Diceros bicornis minor: one gene and its partner. The protein of the gene in region 1 interacts with the protein of each later gene in a pairwise test. Links are inferred from orthologs where the notes say so. Each region holds a gene or a part of one and is shown on either strand. Other genes may lie near its edges.

Region 1 (7,605 bases):
TCCCAGGCGCAGACCTACTCCACTCACCAGCCATGCTGTGGCGGTGTACCACATACAAAACAGAGGAAGACTGGCACAGATAATAGCTCAGGGCTAATCTTCCTAAAGCAAAAAAAGAGGAGGATTGGCAATGGATGTTAGCTCAGGGAGAATCTTCCTCAGCCAAAAAAAAAAAGAAAAACCATTCAAGTTGTTAGGATATTCTCTTTAACACTCAACCTCATGGCAAAAACCACCAACTACCAAAACAACAAACAAAAAGGCAATAGCTGTAAAACAGTAGCATGATTTTACAAAGAAAGGGAGACAAAAGAATGAAAAGACACTTTGCATAATATATGCTATCTAGCACTCTGTGGTTAATCACATTTCAGTGAGATGGAATCCAGAATTTTGACCCACTGTTTTAATATTTCAAACTGTTGTTAGCAGTGTATACAATGACTGCTTTTGGAAAAGAAAATGGTTATCTAATCTAAATGCTCTAAAAAATGGACAAATTCTTTATTATAGAAGGCAAATAATGGAATGAAAATCTCAAATTCATTAATTCAAAGACGTAACAAGAGTACACTTACAAAAAAGTCTTTATTTCTCTGATTTTGATAGTATGTTTCTATTATAACATGCAAAGAAAACTGCAGCAAAGAGCATTAAGGGGAAAAAAAGTCTTTGGAAGACAGCAAGCCTCTCTACAGGAACACTTGTAAAGAGAATAAAAGCAGGTTCCATGGATTTCCCTTCATTTTTCACAAGCTTTTCTAATATTTCTTCTTTGATGAAACTAATGAATAACTGCCACTTATCACACATCTTCTTTCAGATATGTGCCTTATATATTGCTTTCTTCTGAAGAGACAGTTCTTCAAGCTGCTCAAGTCTTTCCGCTGCAGCAATTTTTCTTATTTCTATTATACTGCATTTCTTGCATGGAATAGCATAAAAACCAATTTAATAAACTCCTTTGCTTTCCAAAGACAGTTTCCAAAAGGCGACACTACTGCATCTTAATCAATATTTTAACTATCTTTTCCATTTAGCTCCACAATCTTTACTTACTGCAATAATTCCTAATACTATAGTTTAACAGTTTAATTTGTCAGGATGATATCATATTTCCTTCTATATTACATCAATATAGAAGACAGTGAACATTTTCTCTCTAATCAATTAATTAATACTTGCTTGAGGCAGTCCACATGTCCCCAGCCTTATAATAACAACAGACATTATTTTGTTCTGCCTTTTCAGCTACTGCAGAAATTTTGTAGTCTTTAAAAAGATAATTCATTGATTTTAGGGTCTCAGATCTTTTTTTTGTGTGTGTACAGAAGGTTAAAACATATATTTTTTCCCTTACTCTAACATTTGGTTTAAAACAGTTTCCAATAAACTCTAAACCAAATAGCTTTTTAAAAGAACTAGAATTAAAATAATTGCAAATTCTGAGGATAGATGAGGTAACAATCCCAAAGGAAAAAATATACAGGCCCTATTCTTTTAGAATTCTTGAAAGACATTTCAGTTCACTTGATATTCTAAAATTACTAAAGTTGTTGAGATTTTGTAAGCTCCAAATAGACTGATTCCTTCAGTACAGACACACACACCCAAGTATTGTGGTACTTGAAAACAGAAGCCAAGGAATCAAAGTTGAGTGTTTATTACCACTTTACATGTAGTTTCTTATAAAACACTGAGAATATAGGAAATATAGAAAGTTCTTTCTTACTCATCTTTCGTCCTTTGTGAGCCAATTTTTTCCCCTACTTAAAATCTGAGCTAAATCTCCTGATCCTGCCACCATGCTTTAAAACCACAAAGAGACACCATTTTTCAATCGATGCTGAATTTAATTACAAAGAGGGAAAATGTACTAAAGTATAACTTTCACAAATGCTACATGTAAGTTACATGTAAAATTTTTTAAGGCTGAGTTGTTTTCAGGCACAGGGCTGAACCTGTAGCCTGAACCTGTAGACCAATCAAGGTCTAAGAATTTAAGATAACAATCATATCAGTTAACGTAACACCAAGTGTTTGAATACCTCAGTATGATACTTTCACTCTGGTAAGGTGAAAATGCCTCGTAATTTACGTAAAATATTGAGTCTGTAATAAACCACCTCCTTAAAAGAGCAGCTGCAGAGTTACTGTGGCATGTCAAGGCAGACAACACTACTGTATCTCACCAGGTCAAGGTTGAACATGAGTAGGGGAGCAGGGGTGGGCAATTCATGAGTCACACAAGAAAGCACGTCTATCTTGCAGACCTGAGTGGAGAATTTTAACAACGGGTTTTGAATTCTTTGAAGAATGCGTTAAGAAAATTTTGTTGAGGAGGAAATTTTCCATCTTACACAAAACTCACATAAATTCTGGAGGCTGGTGATTATCACAACTTGGTGGAATAACCTAACTTTTCACATAAAACACAATCCCAAGGCTTTAAGATACCTTCTATGCAAACGGCAACAAGCATCACCTTATGAAGCCCCCGCCGGCACAGGAAGTGGTTTGGACCCCCCAAACCATCACCCTACCCCCACAGGAAGTGAGTTATGTTTCCCCCTCCCCCAGGAGGACCTTCCTCCCCTCCCCCAAACGGAAGTGAGGCGCCCCCATTCAGTCGGCCTCAAACCGAGACAAACCAATAACAACGGCAAAAGAGGGATGATCTTCAAGGGGTGAAGGGCACCTCCACTGTGGCCACCCGCAAGCTCGCCTTGCTTACTGACCTGCTGACGATAGGGACAGGCAAGGGCCCGGGGCCTAAAGAAAGCCCCTCACACAGGACAATTCCCTGAGCCCCTCTCAATCGCCTTCACTCTTCTCCCTCCGTCGTCTCACAGCATGACAAAAATTCCTCCGCAGTACTTTATTTTGATGTCCTTTCTTTCCCTTTACCTAACCGCTTAACCACCTTCCCATAGGCAACTTCTCTTATCGCAGTAACATTTAAAGTTGTTCCAGTGAAGAGAAAAATAAAGTATTGCTCCCGATACCTTCAGAAAAATGAAGGGATTATTTTGTTCAAATGCGGCGGACTACGTGATTACGCAAGGTGAGACTTATTTTCGCAGAGGTTTCTGGGAGATGTAGTTTTTTTAATTGCTAAGGCCTGAAGCAGGTATTGGGACTTAAATTGGTGATTAATATATACTAGAGTCTTTGAAAACACATATTTTGTATATGATGGCAGGCTGACCTGGGGGGCTCCGGCACTATATAGGCCAATACTTCGTTCCCCTTTTCTTCTGAAACTTAATTGAACCTAAATTTCCCTTCACGCCGCGGTCCTGGTCGTCCCGCCCTCTTCCTTTGGCCACGCCCTCCTGAGCCAATCAGGCGCCCTCTGGATCTCTTTCTCTGGAGGTAGGAACGCGAGAGGAGGGGCCTCCCAGTGACACCTCCTGCGCGGCTGAGGCGAGACCAGGGGGAGGGCCGAGGACCCGTGTGCGCGCGCGTGCTCGCTCCTCAAGGATCGCGGCGGCGAGTGCGCGCGCGGAGGGGTGGCGCGCGGGGCTGGGAGGAGGCGGGCAGGCTGGTGGGCTGGGCGGGCGGCGGGCGCCCGGGAGCGCGCGGTGGACTCGGCGGCGGCGAGTAGTTAGTTAGTTGTTGTTAGTGTCAGTTGCTCGGCGGCGGCGGCCGCGGTCACCAGGAAGGGGACGGGACGGCCGGTGATGGTGGTCCCCGCGGCGGCGTGTGCGCCCCTCAGGTAACCGGGGCAGGGCTGCCCGCGTCCCCTGCGTTCCCTCTTCTCTCGCGCCAGCTTGTGGGACCAGGGTCGCCGCTGGGTGAGGGCGCTGACCCGGGGGAATCCGGGCGGGGCGGCGCGGGGTCTGGGTGGCGCCGCCGCGGGGACTCGGATGGCCGGTGCGTCCGGCCCGGCGCGTGCTCTCCGGCTCCGGCCACCCCCGCGCCCGCCGCCCCCGGTCCCGCCGGCGCCGCGCGCCCCGCCGCCCCGGCTCCCGCCCCCTCCCTCGGCGGCGGCGGCGGCCCCGGTAGCTCGGCGCCCCCCAGAGGAGGGAAAGTTGGGACCTGGCGGCGAGGGACGCCCCCGGGCGCGGCTGGGAGGCTGCTTGGGGAAAGTGAAGCCTGGAGGAGCTGGACGCGGGGAGGCTGGTGCAGGAAGGGCGCCTCTCGCTGCTAAGTCTACACGGACACCCGGGTCCAAACCCGGGAGGATCCGGCGCAGCCTCGCCAGCAGCGCCAGGACGAAACCCGGTGGCTCTTTGCCTGCTCCCTTCGCGCTGCGGCTTGTGAGCCCCCTAAGTGCGGGTTTGCTCGGTGGTTTGGGGATTTTGAGAGGTTGGTTTGGTCGGTTTGTTTCTCCTTTGCCCTTTGCCTCATCTGTTCTTGCAACTTTTCTTACCTCCCGCGACGAGGACTTGCCGTCTGAACCCCCTTCTCTACCCCCCTCTCCCCGCGTCCCTTGCACCATCCGTCTGAGAGCTTGATTTCATTTTTCGTCCTTTGACTGCGTTAAAGACTGCTGAGAGCAACAGGAAAGAGGAGCCCTCCCACCTTTAAATGTTACTTGCTTGCAATCCGTTGTTTTTTTTAAAGATCTAAGTTTAGGAATTTGAGAGCTGTGGAATGGAGTTATTGGAAGGCTGGCGTTGAGGGGATAGTGACGAGTTAAAGGAAAACTATGATTTCATCTTTATTGGCCTTGCTATAGAAAACCTAATACTTTTTTTTTCTGCCTCTCTTAAATGTGGTAAGATTATACGTTGAATTAAATAGTTGGAGATTTACATAAAAGGCTATTTTTAGGTCACTAGATGATGTATGTCAGCTGCTTTTCACCTGAATTGGGATTGCCTTGAGGATGCTGTTTTGGGGCCTACCTACTGATTTTTGTTAAGCCACAATGTCTTTTTTTCCTGATAAATGAAGTGATGTAGTAATGTGTGTAGTCGGAGAACCCATATTGCTCTCCGAAGTGTGAAAGTGAAAAACATGAATTATCCTCAGGGGTAAAACTTTCTTTGAACAATCTTGGATACTTGCTTCATGATGGCTTCTCCTGTAATCGCAGAGCATTTCTAGATAGCTCAATTCACTGAGTACCTTAATTACTTTCTGAAGTGCCTGGCGTTTCTTCTCTTGGGTCACTCGTTTAGTAAACTATATAATGGCAGGTATGGTACATTTTCTTGGCTTCAAAGATGGGAGTTACAGTCTCAGCCTGGAGATTAACAGTTAACAATGGAAGCAGAATTCATACCATTGCTAGTGAGTTTTGGCTATGACCAACTCACAAACTATGTGAAAAAACAAACATCTTTCCGTCGCTGTCGGAGAGGAAGAGGGGCAAATATTTTATCATGTCTTTATTTTGGAGACTCTAACATGAGTATATTATGTGGGAAAAAATGTCGTTATTTTCTTTAAGACTTTTTGATGTGTGGTCCTCCTCTCTACTCCTTACCCCCCATTTAGGGGCTGACATTTATGTTTGGCTGGGTTCCAGGATGGGAAGAAAAGTATTTTGGCGAAAGGAAAAGATAAGATCGCTTTGAACTCTTGTGATACTATGACTATTCATTTTACCCAGTGTTAATATAGAGAAACTTCCTCAATCATGTTCGTACCCCATTAACATTCTGTCAGAATTCATTTTTAGGAGTCTATCCTGAGGCCCATAAAAAAATAATGCCACTTCATAACTGTTCCTGACAATCACATTAAAAAATGTGTTCCTGGAATGCATTATACGTGTACTCATATAAACATTTATCTTTGTAAATTTATGGTAATGTAAATATTTAAGTCTGAGAGCTTAAAAACTTTTATTTGCCTATTTGCATACATGTTTTTCAACATCTAGCAGTGCCAACCATATTTGCCAAATAAGCATCAGCCATAAATTCTTGTTTTGGCACATTTCATATAATAACTCTTCTAAATTGCTCCATGGTGAAGCATCATGAGATTAGCATTTGCTTCATGAGAGAGATTTGTTGTTGTTTTTAACTGTAATGATGTGCTGTTTAAGTGGAACAGGTGCTGGGCTCTAGCTGTTTGTGTTGAAACCTGCCAAATCATACTCTTTTGTTGGATGAGTTGTTTAAGTAATTTAGGAACCAGACTGTGGCCCCTGGCATGCCAAGTGTGAGTTCAAGGCTCCATATCACTGCTGCAAATCCCTATTTTTCACTGTAAGAGGCAAGTGTGTGTCATGAGCTTTATTTCCTCATTGCTGTTCTCTCTAATTCCCACTCCAGCACCCTAGTCCTTTTGTTGCTAGAGCTCCTGGAAAAGTCTAGGCTCCCTCACTGCTGGTTTGTTTTTCCTGGAGAACTAGAAATTCTAAATAACTTTCAGGCCAGGAATAGGTAATTCATCTTTGTTTGACAAATTTTTTGATTGCCTTTTAAGTGGTAGGCATGGTGGTAGGCCCTGAGTGTATGTAGAATGATAGTCCTTTTTGCAAGGATTGTCCAGTTTAGGAGGAGAAGATAGCTGATAATCAATAATTACAATGTGGTGTGATATAGACAGAGGTGTAAGCAGATTCCTATGGATGGGAAGCACAGAGGAGGGGTAGTTGACTAAGACTTGAGGTCTTGGGGTGGGGAAGTGTCCTGAAATGCATCTTAGTGGGTTATCTGAGCTAACCTTCAAAAATACATAGGAGTTAACTAGGTTCGGAGAGAGGGAAAGGACATTTTAGACAGTGCTGTCCTATAAAATTAGAATATGAGCCACAAATTTGTCACATATATATTTTAAAATTTTCTGGTAACCACGTTAAAAAAAGTAAAAAGTGAAATTAATTTTAATAATTTATTTTACCTGATATAGACAAAATGATATCATTTCAACATGTAATCAATATTAAAACGTGTATTATTCAGATATTTGATGTTCCGTTTTTCATACTAAGTCTTCAGAATCTGGTATGTATTTTACACTTACAACACATCTCAGTTTGCACTAACCACAGTCAAGCACTCAGTAGCCACAGGTAGACAGCACATTTTTAAAACAGGAGCTGATGAAGTCGTAAGAAGCCAGATCACTGAATGCCTTATGAACCAAGCTAAGGAGCTTTAACTTTATCCTGAGGCTGTGAGGGTTTAGTGGGGGAAAAAAATTATACTGTGATAGAATCAGGTTTGTGTTTTAGATCTATCATGCTGGCAGTGAAGTGAAGGCTGGATTAGAGAAGGGCAAAACTGGAAGCTGACCAGTTAAGAAGCCATTCCAGTTGAGAAATGATGAGGGATGTAGAAGAGGGGTGGATGTATGAGAGATTTAGGAAGTTTTATCAACAGGGTAAGTAATCAGATCATGGAGTTGAGCAAGATTGAAGATTTAGGATTAGTCCCACATTTCTGTTGTGAGCTCCTGAGTGAGCAGGCAACTGAAGAGAAGCCAACCAACCATCTGTGCCAGACAGACCAAAGATGAAAAAAGGAAACTATGAGAGATTTGTCACGGAAGCCGAGGGAGGAGACTATTTCAAGGACTAGGAGTGGTCAACACTGTATCCTGGATGAAAGGCCAAGTAAGATAAGGACTGAAGGAAGTCTAAGACTTGGTGATTAAGATGTCTTTTGTAACTTCAGCTAGAGCAGGTAGCTACATTGTAAT
Region 2 (7,125 bases), on another chromosome or scaffold:
TCTACCAGAGGAGCATCACCCACTCTATTCCCGGCAGCCACACTTCTCCCCTCTGTAATTACAAATGAAACCAAGTGACAGAATCAAAAGAGGACCTGGAAATAAGTTGGCCTCCACTTCCCCAAATAGTCGGGACCGGGCTTTGAGCTAAAACCACATTTATTTTAAAGAACTTCCCTAGTGGGGTAAACATTCAAGTTCATCCAAGTACTACAAATGATTTTTTAAAATAATATTTTTTCCAAAGCCCGTGTGGGCCCAGCTCAGTGATATTGAGTCTGGCTTTCATACCTGGCTGTCACTGATTCTAATGTGTGACCTTGGACATTCCATTTCTCCAAGAGTAGATGTCCTCATCTGTAAAATGTGGGAATAATCTCAAGAATGTTGGAGACAGCATATGTAAAAGTGCCTTGAAAACAGTAACGTCATAAAACTAAGTCAGATATTATGAAGAATAATCAGAGTTATTTCTGTCCTTAAGTGTTCACAGTCATCATATGGAAGACAAATTGTATATACAGCATGACACCTGTCATTTGTTGAACTGTTCCCCGATAAAGATGTTGAAGTCCTAACTCCTGGTACCTGTGAATACGACCTTATTTGGAATTGGGTCTTTGCAGATTGTCAAGTTAAGATGAGGTTATGAGGGTGGACTCTAATCCAATATGACTGGTGTCCTTATAAAAAGGGGAAATTTGGACACAGAGACAGACGCACAGAGAGGGAAGATGATGTGAAGACACAAGGAGAAAATGGCCATCTACGAGCCAAGAAATCCCCAGGGCTACAGAAGCTAGGAGAGGGCCTGAAACAGTCTCCCTCACAGCCTTCAGAAGGAACACCCTGCTGACACTTTAATCTCTGACTTCCAGCCTCCAGAACTCTGAGACAATACATGTCTGTCGTTTAAGCCACTCAGTTTGTGGTACTCTGTTACAGCAGCCCCAGGAAAGTACAGGCAGTCCCCAACTTACCATGATTCTTTGACTTGACAATTTTTCAACTATGCAATGGTTTGAAAGTGATATTCACTCAGTAGAAATCGTACCTTGAATTTTTTTTTTAATAATTATTTATTTATTTTTTTCCCCCCAAAGCCCCAGTAGATAGTTGTATGTCATAGCTGTACATCCTTCCAGCTGCTGTACGTGGGATGCGGCCCCAGCATGGCCGGAGATGCGGTGCGTCAGCGCGCGCCCGGGATCCGAACCCCGGCCGCCAGCAGCGGAGCGCACGCACTTAACCGCTAAGCCACGGGGCCGGCCCTCGTACTTTGAATTTTGAATGTTGATCTTTTCCCAGGCTGGTGATATGCGGTGTGATCCTCTCTCATGATGCTGGGCAGCGGCAGTGAACTGCAGCTCCCAGTCAGCCCCGTGGTCACGAGGTTGAACAACCGATACACTTACGATGATTCTGCACCACACGACAATTCTGTTTTTCACTTTCAGTACAGTGTTCAATAAATTACATGAGATATTCAACACTTTATTATAAAATAGTCTTTGTGTTAGATGATTTTGCCCAACTGTGGGCTAAGGTTAAGTGTTCTGAGCATGTTTAAGGTCAGCCAGGCTAAGCTACGATGTTCAGCAGGTTAGATGTATTAAATGCATTTTCAACTTATGATATTTTCAACTTACGATATTTTCAATTTACAATGGATTTATGGGGATGTAACCTCGTCGTAAGTCGAGGAAGATCTGTAATATAACACCCTACATCCCGAATTTGCTTTCTTAGTTGCTTTAGTTTATTAAATCCAAAAGTACTTGCCGAATAACTCCTCACGCTCTCCCTCCACTAAGCTCCGCGAGGGGTATTGAAGGAGCAGTAGACACAAAGGGAAGAGACCAGGTTGTATCTCTCCTGAGGGAGACACGCACCTTCTTAGACGTTCAGAGAAGGGAGTACACGTGAGCCGAGAGGGTGGAGGGCTAGGGGGGAGCTGAACTGAGCTGGAGGAACAGGTAGGTTTCAGATCTACAGGGAGGAGGAGTCATGCTGGGTGAGGTCCACGTGAGAGGCGGGTCCACGAACTGCCTCAGTATTCTTTTTCGATTTCTTGAGCTTTCTCATCCTCTCCCCTGCCTCCCGCCTGTGTCCACCAATAGCTCAGGCCTTGACAACCATGATGAGGGTGCTTTGTGCGGACATCTGTGGCCCTGTGACTGAGCTTGGGAGAAGAGTGCTCTGATTCTGTGGGAGAGACCCTGCGATGCACTCACAAAAGCGACTGTTTCCTCCTGGGCACACAGGAAGACGTAATTCCCAGACCCCTTGCCTCCAGGTGGGACCTTGCCACTAATTCTGGGCAGTGAATGCAGGTGGATGTAATGTGTGCCTCTTCCAGGCCTGGCTCCTAAAGACCCGGGGACCCCAGGCTAGTGTTCTCTCCTCTCTTGTTGCTGGCTGGAAGTGGAGGGGCCAGTGGAGGCCTCGGAAGCACTGAAGGAGGGTAGGAGAATTTCTAGATGGAACAGGCTGGGGTTCCTGAATGCCTGTGTGACTCCTCCCCATGGCCTCCCATTTGCAGTGAACTGCATGCAACCCAAGTGAAAAGTGGGGTCGGATGTGTGACCATAGCAGAACATAACCTACCCCCACTAATCCAGTCTCTGCAGTCACCAGCTAATGCGCCTGGGCTGGGCATCTGACTGAGGGTTCCCTAGCTGTAACCCTACCCTCTGTGTGGATGTGCTGCAGGAAGCCTGCGCAATGACCTTGGCCACTGGTCTCTGCTGAGAAGGAAAGATGGCGCCCCTAGGTACCCAAGCTGGCTCTGTATGACATCACCACAGCCTGGTACTGCTGATGCTCACAGTCATTATTGCATTTAATCCTCACAGCAGGGCCACCAGGAGACTAACTCCCTCTGGGTTTGCTTTTGCCATTTGCCTGCAGAGGGAGGGGTCTGGGCTCAGATCACCTTGCCTGCCAGCCCCCAGCCAACTCCCCCCAGGGTCGTGCACTCCCATTTCTTCCCTAGCCTTCAGTGGAGTGGGAGTTCACTCACGGAGTTTTTGTGGAGGAGGATTTGAGCTTTCCCCTAGAGACGCTGGAAAGACAGTTTGTCTCAGCCTAACACTATCGCCCAGCTCCACATTTATGGCTGTTTCTGTGGTTACCTTTCTTTGGGGATGTTTAGGGTGGGTGGTGGTGGTAGTGGTGGGGGTGTGTATATATTGTGTATCTAGGGCCCAGATTTTCAGGAGCTGCCAAATCGAAGGGCCTGGGAAGCACAGTCCCTGATTCCTGCCCTCTGATGCAAGTGCCATCGCAGAGGGATGGAGGAAGTCCGCAGGGAGCACTTCTGCCTCTCCCTGAGACCCAGGCCACCTGACCCGGGACTGAGATGTCAACCAGCGAGTAGAGACTGAAGACCCACAGCACGTTAGGGAGGGAAGGGCCTGAAGAAGCCTGCTCCTCCTTCTGTCCATTTTAGAGGTGGGGAAACCGAGACCGAGGGAGTCTAAGGGACTTGTCCAAATGGCCTAGAGTTAGCAAAGGCAGCCAGAACTGGAACTCGGGTCTCCCTCCTCCCGACCCCGGGCTCCTTCCCTGAACCAGGGCGGGAAGGTTGTTGGTATCTGCTCACCGGACAGGGGGTGGGAGTGCCAGAGGGGCCAAGCAGGCGGCCCGGGGAGACTCTGGCCTCTTCCCCTTCTGGGCCACCCGGGCCGCACTTCCTGCAGAGGACAGGAGGCGGGGGAGCGGGACCCCGGGCACCGCCTCCGGGCCTCTCCCACACCCGCGGGCCAGAGGCCAAGGGTTAGGGAGGCGGAACCAGTGCTCGGCTCCGCTCTGCCCCGAAATCCGCGCGGGGCGGGATCGGGTCAGCGCTTCGACTGGGCCGAGACTGCATAAAGAGGAGCGAGGCGCCAGCGTGGAAAGGGCAGACGCCCGGCGCCAACAGGCCAGCAGGGGGCGTGGCCAGGGACGGAGGCTTGACCGCAGCGGCGCTCGGCGGGCGGGGCTAAGCCTGGGGGCGTGGTCGAGGCGGGGGCGGTCCGCAGGGGCCCCGAGTGCCCGCCCCGGCCGCGCGCCCCGCCCCCGGCCCCCGCCTCCGGGTCCCGCCCTCGCGTCCCTTCCTTCTCCCGGCTGGCAGGCGGGCCGCGGCGGCTGCGGGCGGCGGACGGACCGGCTCCTCCTCGTTGCTCCTTCCCTCGCTGCCGGCTTCCTTTTGTCTTTCTGGGGGGCGATGAGCGCAGGGCCGGCGTGGCGGCTGCGGACGCACGGAGGCCCGCGCTCCTAGCCACCCTTTCTGGCCTTGGCGCGCTCGTCCCGGGCAGCGGCCCGCGCCCGCCTCAGCGCCGGCGGCGCCGAACTTGAGCTCGGGAAGCCGGCGGACCGCGTCCTGCGCCGGAGCAGGTAGGGAAGGGGCGGGCTGCGGGGCTACAGGGAGTGCGGGCGTGTGCACTGGGGTGCGCTGCGATCAGGCTCTCTGCGTGTGTGTGTGTGTGTGTGTGCGCGCGCGCGCGCGCGCGTGTGTTGGGGGGTGCCTGTGTTTCTCTGCGCGGTGGAGTTGTGGGTGACCGAGGACGGTGGTGTGTCCCTGGAATGGCGCGTCCTCGTAGGCATCCGTGTGTGCAGTTGGGTGTGCACATTTTGGGCTGCGTTTGTGGAATTGGGTGTTGGGGCGCAGTTGCTGGTGGGGACCGGTGCGGGGCAGGTGTCGTGTGTGAGCGGCTGTGCGTGGGGCGCGGGCGGCGGGGTGGGCGTGGGCGGTCCAGTCCTACGCGCGGAGCCTCCGGTCCCCGCCGGCCAGCGCAGTGCGGAGCTCCAGAGCCCCGGGGGACAGCTGGGATCCGAGGGGGCTGGCGCGAGCTTCGGGAGCAGGGGGCCAGGTCCGCGAGGCCCACGTGGGTCGCCTGTGTGCCCTGGCCAGGGCAGGGGACCCGCGCGGCGGCCATCCACTCCCTCCTTCCCATGCCGAGGAGCGATGGACAGAGCCCAGCTCCGGAGTTAGGAGCCCTGGCATCGCCGTGACCCGCACTGCGACCTGGGGCAGACACACCATCTTCCCGGGTTGCAGTTTGCTTCTGTATCGAATGGGGACAGTTCCTCCCTCGCGGTCTGTCGTGACAGTTAAAATGAGAACGCACTCCAGATAGCTCTTGGCCAGTGCCTGGCACGTAGTAGTGCTACGTTAATTAATTAGCGTCTCTCTTTTTAAAAAATCTTTGTTTTCTTTATCGTGGGTGGTGATCTTATAATCCCCCCACTCCGCGCGTGGTTTGTGCCTTTCTCAGGGCCCTAACTTAACGGCTAAGCACCGAGATTCGAGAAAGTTTAGGCTGCCGGGTGAGCCGCTTCCTCGCCGCGCGTCCCCGGCGGCGCCGCCTCGGGTGTGTAGGAGCGCGCAGCGCCGGGCGCCGGCCATTCTCCAGCCGCGAAGGCTCCGGCGCCCGAGCGGGTCCCTCTCCTGGCCGAAGGCAGTGGCTGCGGGAGTCGGGATCCCTTTTGTTCAACAAGTGCGAGACCCCGGGGCGTGCAGCTCGAGGAATCCGGGAGCCAAGGTGTGAAAGTGGCGCTCGCCGCAGAGACGGATCTCGGGCTCCCAGGGCATCCCCCACCCCGGGCCTGGTCACGCTGAAGGCCACCCCTTTTCCTCTGGGCCAACACGGATTCCTCCTAGAGGAGGGTGTTTGTCAGGACGGCGAGACCTGCCTTGGCCATCGGCATTGGACACCCTCCAACTCTCCCCGCCCATCCCCCCCTTAGATCAGCCTTATGCAGGAGGCTGAGATCCGCGTGGGACCCTTTATTCTAGTCCCCCACCGTAATTTTTAAAATATTTAGTTTGAAACCTAGTACTCATAACATTGAACCGCAGTGAATGCACACAGCTCTAACCACGATTCATACTCAGGAGTCCTGCCAGCCACGCCGCAGTGCTTGCTCACACCCAGCTGGGCCAGCTGGCTTGGGCTGCCCTGCCGCCTCCTGCCAGAGCCAGTGATTCCTTCTCTCTGTGTCTGTGGTTTGTTCCTCTCAGGACCCTTTCCCGTCGGAAAAACAAATAACCTTTCACCAAGGGAGCAGCCAGCCTCATGGTGCAGGAGGATCTCAAAATGGAGCGCTGGCTGGGAATGGGCAGGGGCATGGGGACATGGGCAGGCTGCATGTGGGTATGAGACGCACTCCAAGTATCAGGTGCATCCGTTGCTGTTTTCAGGGAAACTGGAATCCTTTGCAGGCTTTTATGACACAGGAGTAGAAACCTCTGGCTTGGTCCTTCAGTGTGTCTTCTGCCAGGACCGGAGCCCTGAGATATCAGCGGTGATGGCAGGCGGGGGCAGCTGAAAAAGCTAATTTTTCATCCTGATTTGGTGTCAGGGGCACACTTAGAAGGCAACCTGTTTTTTCTGTTTCGTAAAATGATTTTGTGTCCTAGAGGAGAAAAGGGCTTTTGATCTGAATCCTACTCTCTTCCCCATAATCAGATTCGGTAATAGTATTAAAAAAGAAAATCAGTCTGGCTTTCTCAGCTCAGTAGACAGACCAAAAGCTAGTGGTTTTTTTTCCCCCTAGTTAAAACCGGCCCTTTGTCTCAAGCAAACCAATGTTTTGGCCCTAGATCTATTTCTGTTTCACTTTTGAAAGTGCCTGTAATTACTGAGCTCTTGAGGTTTTATTGAATAATGTGCCGGAGGGAAGGCCCAGGGCCCCTGCCTGTCCCTTGCAGGGGACGTGGGATGTGGTACCTCGTTCTAGCCTTGCCTGCTTCCTTTGAGTTCCACTGTTACGCTTTCTGTAAGGTGGAAAATAGATGTCAATGGGCAATAATAATTTGGGAGACTTGGCACTGGGTCTCAGATGCCCGGAAGGTCACTCGACTTGTGGAGAAACAAGACTAAGTCAAAACCCGGAAAGAACAGAGATTTGCCCAATCTCTAGCCAAGGATCCATTCATTTCCAACAAGCCCTCCTAGAGAGACACTCTGAGAGAAATAAAAGAGCTTGGACAAATTCCTTCAGAATTTATCCTAATGCCCCTTTCTGGCCACGGGGCTGTGCAGAATTAGAAATACAAGCTATTGAAGGACAAGGAGTGGACTCCCCTTGGCGCACACTCCCCAGCCGGGGCCTCGTACTCACCGAGCTCCATTTCTCCCT

Evidence for each region. The genes of interacting proteins can lie anywhere in the genome.
Region 2: the proteins of HMG20A (region 1) and HPCAL1 interact in binary tests that used the Homo sapiens proteins (3 or more experiments, as listed by UniProt). The two-hybrid records come from large-scale screens. The link is inferred for Diceros bicornis minor from reciprocal best matches to the Homo sapiens genes HMG20A and HPCAL1.

Annotation. Positions count from the first base shown.
Region 1 is NC_080744.1:68,859,914-68,867,518, forward strand, and holds the start of HMG20A (high mobility group protein 20A), read right to left. Parts: upstream 3,004-7,605; 5' UTR 2,739-3,003; intron 1-2,738. UniProt on the Homo sapiens protein: Plays a role in neuronal differentiation as chromatin-associated protein. Acts as inhibitor of HMG20B. Overcomes the repressive effects of the neuronal silencer REST and induces the activation of neuronal-specific genes.
Region 2 is NC_080751.1:69,874,486-69,881,610, reverse strand, and holds the start of HPCAL1 (hippocalcin-like protein 1), read left to right. Parts: upstream 1-4,106; 5' UTR 4,107-4,377; intron 4,378-7,125. UniProt on the Homo sapiens protein: May be involved in the calcium-dependent regulation of rhodopsin phosphorylation.